2 linked regions of the Rattus norvegicus genome follow. The protein of the gene in region 2 interacts with the protein of the main gene of each other region in a pairwise test. Links are inferred from orthologs where the notes say so. Each region holds a gene or a part of one and is shown on either strand. Other genes may lie near its edges. The genes, in order: Bex3 and Ccdc116.

Region 1 (3,404 bases), on a different chromosome or scaffold from region 2:
CAGATAGGGCTATTTTCTTAAGAGCCAAGAACCACAGGGGTTATACTCACCTGGATATCAAGCTATAGACGTTTTTCTACCCTATCATACCTCTCACTACATACTTCAGTCAAATTGAGCTGTGCTAAGGCCTATAGGTATAGATTCAGAAGGGAATGTGTACCCAAATCGCATACCTGTAACCGAAAAAGGATTGCAGCATACAGATGACATGGAGGAACCCACCTCCTTTTCCTGTATGGAATTGGGAAAATGGACAAGATCTGAAGATATTCCTCAGTTTACCCCAACTATTTAGGGACGGCTGGGGGCTTAAAAATCTAAACCATATTGGACAATTTTAAGAAATTCTATCTTCACCAAGAGGATTTACTCTTTAAGTTTGTTGAGCAAATAATTCTATAAACCTGCACTAGATTCATAAACTTATACCCCAAAAGTTTATGAAGCCCCAAATAAAAGGAAAGTTATACGTGTCCCCCCAACACTTTCAGAGTTTTTGTAGCTCATTTTTTACTCTAGGTATTTATGCTTTAAGGAGACAATAATGATTACCCAGGTTGCTTTTCAGTTGCTTTATTGACTTTACATTTTTTCCATGCAAATGGGCAACACTGTACTGTTGACAGAAACTCACACTGAGTGGGAAGGCAATTTCCAATTATAAGTTGGCAACACAAGCCCCGCCTGGCACATGGAAATAACACAAGGCTCACCACAAACGGGTCATTTAAAGGCATGTCAGGAAAATGCAAGGGCTAGGAATACAGCGGGAATCACAGTATGAATCTCAGGGGAAATGACCGAAGTCAAGGCATAAGGCAGAATTCATCGTGATGGTCGTGGTGATTAGAGAGCTCCCCCATAAGAATACGCAGACAATTTCTCAACTGCAGCTCCCTAAGCTTTCTCCGGATCTCTCTCATCTCCTCCATGAACATTTCCATATCATCTCCATCTCCACCCAACCCATCATTCATCTGCCTGTTGGGAATGGCCCATCGAAAGTTAGGGGCAAGTCGGCGGGCCTGTCCTCTCCGGTGATGATTGTGGTTGTGGTTGTGGTTGTGGTTGTGGTTATGGTTGTGGTTGTTGTTGTTTGCAGCAGGCTGGTGGCCCTCACCTCCTCCCACGGGGCGGTCTTCCTGTCCATTCTGCAGGGGCTGCTCCATTTCTTCGTTTTCCTGGTGGATATTGGCCATGATGAGATTTTGTTTTCGGGTTGTTATTCTTTGAACACAAGTAAGAGAGGGCAAGGAAAAAAACTGAATGCTTGGTGCTGTGACCAGCAAAATTCAGAGACTAACTGCAAGGGTTTTCATTATTATTTTTCCCCATCTTAGGGTCTCCAGGCAACCTCTACGGAACCTCCATTTCGAGTCCCTCCTCCCACCCCCCAGCTCTCTTTTCCCTCCCTCCCCCAAAGCCCACCATTTTTATTTCCCAGGATCCTTTCCCTGAGCTTTGAGGCACCAAAATGGAGGACTGAGATGGAGAGTAGTGTGAGGTGGGGGTTTTCACTGGGGTCCTAGACGGGGCTTCCCCCTACCCCCAACAAAACACACACTGCCCCTGAACGGACCTGGGCCTATCCCTTGCCGCGTAGTCCTCCTCTCAATCCTCTCTGCGAGACGCGCCTCCGCGACTCCCGGCTAGCAGACCTGCAGACGGGGTGGGATGGGAAGGACTCGGCGCGGGCTCCGCACCGCACCCCCTTCCCCAGACCCACCGCCCATCCCCCTACCCGCAGCGGTCGCCCACGATCTCCAGCAGCCCTGCCCCATCCCGGCTCTCCCTGGCTAGCGCTCTCCGCTGCCCGCAGGCCGGCAGGTCCAGCCGCCCCTTTCCCGGGACCCCCGCGCCGTTCCCGCCCCTGAGCGGGGGCGCCCCTTCCCGGACGCAGCCGGGGTTCCCTCCGCGATGCACAAAGCCGCCGAGCCGCTGCACCGTCCCGGGGTGCGCGCCCGCCCGACGCCTGGCTGTCGCCTTCAGGGCCGCTGCGTGCAGGCCCCTTACCTGCCCCGCTCGCCTTGGGCCCGATGCCAGCCCGCCGCGCGCAGACAAGCTCTGAGCTGGTGGCCAGACGCGAGTGACGACTGCACCCAAGGCTGCGTCGCTCTGCAGCCCCGGGTCACGTGAGGGCCTCGCGTCACTGCCAAGCTCGCTCCCCCAGCTCAGGAGGCCAGTGCGACAGGAGGCCCCGCCCCCGCCGCCCGCCGCCAGCGCTCACCTCGGGCCCCACCCGTCACTCATCCGGATCCGCACCAATCTGAGGAACCACAAGTGGCATCACCGTCAGGAGGTTGGACATCTCCCTTCCCTGTTACCAGGGAGAGTCTGCACCATCCTCCATCTCTCCCTCCCACTATAGCCAGGTCTTGGCTTTGGCCTTCTTTGAGATTCCTCTCCACCTTATACAAATGTTTTCTCCAGGATTTCTCCCCATGAGACACCAGGAGGTGGAGAGTGGGATAGACTGTATATATTTCTCTTTATTTCCTTAAAACACACGCGCGCGCGCGCGCGCGCACACACACACACACACACACACACACACACACACACACACACACACACGTACACGTCCCCGCGCAGGGATGCATGCGCGAGTACACACACGATCAGCATGCTTTAGAAAATTCAAAATTATAAGGACCACTTCTTTCTGAAATGCTGGGGATTGATTCTCTAGTTTAATAATTGCTGGAGAAGCTCTCATCTCCTGAGGTGTATTTACAAAGCGCTTCAACCCCTGCCCCCCAATACACACACTACTTAAACATAAAAAAAAGCCTGTCTATGTTGTTGAATTTCAGTCCTCCTATGTCAGCTTCCCTTGTAGCTAAGGTTAAAGGCCTGCACTACCAAGGCTGGTGAGTTTTCAGTTTTGAAAGAAATGCTTCATTCTGCAAAATGAAAACAAAATGCTGCTTATGCCATCAAGCAGAAAATATCTTCTCTAAGTTTTGCATGTCAGTTTTGAAACACATTGTATTAGTCTGTTTCAATCTTTTATTTAAAAATAAAAGACTCTTGCTGAATACAAACTAATGCTTTAAAACAGGTCTGGAATGGTTTCTACAGAGAGAAGTCATCATTTTATATGAATTTTTGGTGTGCGTGACAGGTTCTCAGTATGTAGTCCCTAATGGACTGGAGCTAGCTATATTTAACAGGCCTCAAACTTGGGGTGATCTTCCCTACCTCTGCCTCCTCCTTCTGCCACCCAAGGCCTGGTGTTATATGATATATCTCTTATTTCATAGACCTCAGGAAAAAGAGCCATTTTAATTCTTTGCTTTCCTCTCCAAACCTTTCAGACCGCCCTATAAATATTTAATGAGCTGAGAAATATAAAATATCTAGAAGTTCCTCCGTAAACCTTCTACTCCGATATGAGTACC
Region 2 (3,916 bases):
CTAGAAGTGATGGGTGAAGCAGCCCCTTCCCTTCAAATGTCCCTCCAAGACCTCCAGCCCTGCTCTGGAGGACACCTCAGGACACAGTGTAGGAGGGGAAGTGGAAAAGCTTTTTCCCAGGGGAAGGAATGGGGAGAACACAGGGAAAGGGAAATGGGAGTGGAGATGGCAGGGAGTGGCAAGACTATGCTGGACCTGGCCCCTGAGTTGGCCCTGGCAGGAGGCCACCTCCACTGTGATCCCAGGGGCAGGCAGGGTGAGGTGCAGGCCATGGCGGGGCTGAGGTATATGGTTGTGGTTTGAGGCTGTAGTTTGTTTCTGCAATTTGAGGTCAGAGTTAGGAGACTTCAGCATGCACTGGGATGAGGGGATAGGGACATTAGAGACTTCTGTAGGTGTCACCTTGAGCCTGAATCTGGTAGCCATCTGGACTGCATTAGATGGGGAGCCCCTTCTGTCCTTGCTTTTTCTGTGAGATGTCTTAGGGCTGGAGGCCGAGGTGGGAGAATAACAAGTCTCTCCCCTAGCCTCCCTGTCGGTGGGTAAGGAAGCCTTAGAGCTGGGTTGAAGATCGGAGTTCCCAGGAAACACTGGAGACAGCTCTGAGGTAACAGGGAAGAGGGGGAAGCCATTGTGGCGGCAGGCATGGCTCAGCTTGTCTACAGCCTGGCTGACCACACGCTGCAGGGCTGGAAAGAGGTGGTGCTCAGACAGGAAATCCAGGGTACGATGGGGTTCCCTGAGTGGACAATAGGTAGGCAGGTTGAAGGAGGTTGGCTGGTTCAGCAGTGACTTTATCTCCTTGTTTAATTCTTGTTTGAGGAAAATCATCTCTTGTTCTCCGAGTCCCAACTCTGAAGTTTCAGGGGTGACTGAAGTGGAGGCCAGAAGCCCAGAGAACCAAGACAGGGGCTGTTCCCGGGTCGGCTGACTGCTGCTCTGGCTGCCCAGTGAGTCCCATAGCAGGGAATCCCTCTGGGAGCAGTGTTGATTCAGAACTTTCTGCAAAGAGAAAGAAAAGCTAAGAGGGATCCAAGCAGGCGGAGCCCTAGCCGCTAATCTCACGCCCACCTTCTGCTAGCCTTAGCCATGGCACCAGACCTCACCCCTTTGCTTTCCAGTCGTAGCAGCCTCTTGAGGTTTTTCTCAAGCAGGAGTTTGTCCCTCATGGGTGGCAATGAGCCTACGCCTCTGGCACCCAGGTCACTGTCTTGGCTGCGGGACCCCAGCCATCCAGCTGTGACGCTGCTATGGGAGTCAGACATGGAGCTGGAGCAAGATGGGTAATTGTTTGGGTGTCCAGCACACAGCGTGGGCCGAGCACGGTGCCGATGCACAGTGTTGATGCTGGGTCTGCCTCGAGAACGATGCCTACTATTTGGCACCTCCACTCGGTCTTGTACATCCACCAGTGGCACTCCAGCCTCTGTCTTCATGGTAGCCACACATTCTGTTGCCTGCTCCACGACTGTCTGCAAGCTGTCCAGTACCTGACCCTCCGTGAGGAAATCCAGGAAGCCACCAAATGCCCGAGGGCGCCTAAGGTTTTGCTGGTGGCCCTGGCGCTCTGAGTATCGGTTCATTGATGGTAGGTGTGGTACACGCCCAAGCTTGCAAGTTGGCCTCATCTCTGGCAACAGATGCTTCTTGGGCAGCTATATTGGAACAGAGAGGGTTGTCATAACAGGCAGGATGCCCTGCAATGGGTGAGGAGCAGTCCTCCCGGGGTGCCATTAGGAGCTGGTTGGTATTGAACAGTGGAAAACTTTTTTCTTTAAGGTTTCTCGAGGCTAGGAATTAAACCCAGGGTCTTGAACATGATATGCAAATGTTCAGCCACTAAATTACACTTAAAATTTTTTTCAACAATTACTTGTGGGTACATGTGCATGTAGGTATGCCTCAGTGCAGGTATGGCAGCCAAAGGACAATTTGGTGTGACTGGTTCTCTCCTTTTATTATGTGGATCTTGGGGATAAACTGATCATCCCCAAGTCAGATCATCAGTCTTGACTCAAAGTGCCTTCACCCACTTAGATACTTCACCAGCCCTGAGTTACATTTTAGAATCGGGTAATCCTGAGTTTGAATCCCAGCCAGCTCTGCTATCTTCAGGATCTATGACTATGCTCACAACAGCCCTTTTCGAGGGCTTCTCTTCAAATTACAGGTCTATTAGGGTTGCCCTGAAGGTTTCCCAATGCCTCTATTTCATATATGCCAGCCCTAGTTGGGAGTCTGAAAGTGGAGTTCTGTGTTCGTGGTATGAAAAGGCAATTATGGGAGCCCTCCGCCCTCAGGCTCTAGCAAAGGTCTACACTGTCTTCATTGCTGTGCTACACTTGAGGACTCGATTCTGTGTCTCCAGCTTGAGTCCTGTACGCTCCTTCTCAGGGCTCCTGGTCCACCCAAGTACTATCTGGGGCCAAGGGGAGTGGCTCAGCAAGCAGGCATAAGGTAAGGCGACGCTACAGTAAGGATTTCACCAAGTGACCCAGTAAGATCAGCTGGACATGAGAAAGCAGCAGCAAGTGGTGGGTCAGCTGGATATACTTACCCGAGCCACATAGGTGCCGTGAGCAGCCTCGTCGTCAGCCAGATAACCTGAGTGGTGGCGGCACCTTGCCATGATGTGGATAATTAAATTTGTTTTCTGCTTCCTTCTTCAGGTCCTACAGCACAGATGCAGACTCCTCTGTATGGGGCGGAGAGAGGAAGTAAAGTTAGGTCCAGGCCTCCATGGACCCCTCATTCCCTGTACTTGTGTCCTCCAGACGTCCCAACTTTCCCTGCTTGGACTGGTCACTTATCTGTGGACATTCCCAAGTCACTGCCTTTTGTTTGCAACTGTGTCTGGGTCCAAATGTGTGTCCAGACTTCTTTCTTTCAGACCTGAGGCATCCTGGAGCCCCCAACCTGCTTACCAGAGTCTCTGCTGTGCTTCTAGGGGTTCACTCATTCAGCACCCTTTAAAGCTCTACCGCACAGTGCACTGGAATCCTACCCTCGCAGCCTCCCAGGATGCTCATTTACATACCTCATCCTGATTGGCCAGAATCTGGCCTCTCATTCACTATCCTCCCCGACACAATGGTTGGGGGAGGGGCCCAGATTGGCTCCTCCCCCACCTTGCTGGATTTTTAAGTCAAGCCAGCTAAGTAAGTAGCGCTTGGGGATGGTTATAGATAAGACTTTATTCAGCCAAGAGGTCTGAATCTGGGGCTTGTCTAATCCTCAGGGTGAAAGTGATAGCCTCAACTTGTTATTCAAACATCTTCCTCAGCTCATTCCTGGACCTCCTACTCGTTGTCTTCCTCTTAGGACCCCATTCCCTCATTGGTGCAGCGTGGACTAGCCCCTCATCTTCCTTTTTAAGTGAAGAGTCCTGGTTTTCTGCACAGCCTAGTTCCTGTCCCTGCTTTTTCTTGCTGATATGACTTAGTCCCTTAACACCAGCTCCTCATAATGGAGCTGAGCACCCTTCCACAAATGAGTATTACAACACATTTTGCACCTTAAAGTCCATATAAACTCACTTCTACAGTTTTCCTTCTCCCTTCATCCTAGAAAGCCTGTCATTGCCAACATATCCACAGCAAGTCCATCCTCCACTGCCACATTGTTTCTTTCTTGTCTAACAGCTGTACTGTTAGGCCGTGTAGGGCAGGAATCAAAGCAGTGAACCCTAGTCCCTAATAACTCCATTCCTCATACATAAAGTAAATGCTTAATTTTCTCTTCCCAATCTGTGGTTCTCAGGGTCCCATGGCCTCTGGCCTTCCCAAGAGCAGCTTCTCAGAGAGGCCCAGTGGTTGAATGACACTGGATGGTTCAGCAATCACTATGATCAGACACAGCAGTGTTTATGCCAAGAATTTGGCTGAAGCGTTCTCCGAGGCCTCCAACCATTACAAAG

What was found.
Region 1: the proteins of Ccdc116 (region 2) and Bex3 interact in binary tests that used the Homo sapiens proteins (3 or more experiments, as listed by UniProt). The two-hybrid records come from large-scale screens. The link is inferred for Rattus norvegicus from reciprocal best matches to the Homo sapiens genes CCDC116 and BEX3.

What each region holds. Positions count from the first base shown.
Region 1 is NC_086039.1:104,063,582-104,066,985, reverse strand, and holds Bex3 (protein BEX3), read right to left. Parts: upstream 2,091-3,404; 5' UTR 2,017-2,090; intron 1,981-2,016; exon of another isoform or gene 1,745-1,980; intron 1,662-1,744; 5' UTR 1,583-1,661; intron 1,231-1,582; 5' UTR 1,203-1,230; coding exon 810-1,202; 3' UTR 561-809; downstream 1-560. UniProt on the Homo sapiens protein: May be a signaling adapter molecule involved in NGFR/p75NTR-mediated apoptosis induced by NGF. Plays a role in zinc-triggered neuronal death.
Region 2 is NC_086029.1:97,348,781-97,352,696, reverse strand, and holds the start of Ccdc116 (coiled-coil domain-containing protein 116), read right to left. Parts: upstream 2,921-3,916; 5' UTR 2,811-2,920; exon of another isoform or gene 2,807-2,810; intron 2,698-2,806; 5' UTR 2,630-2,697; coding exon 2,558-2,629; intron 1,656-2,557; coding exon 1,107-1,655; intron 1,003-1,106; coding exon 1-1,002.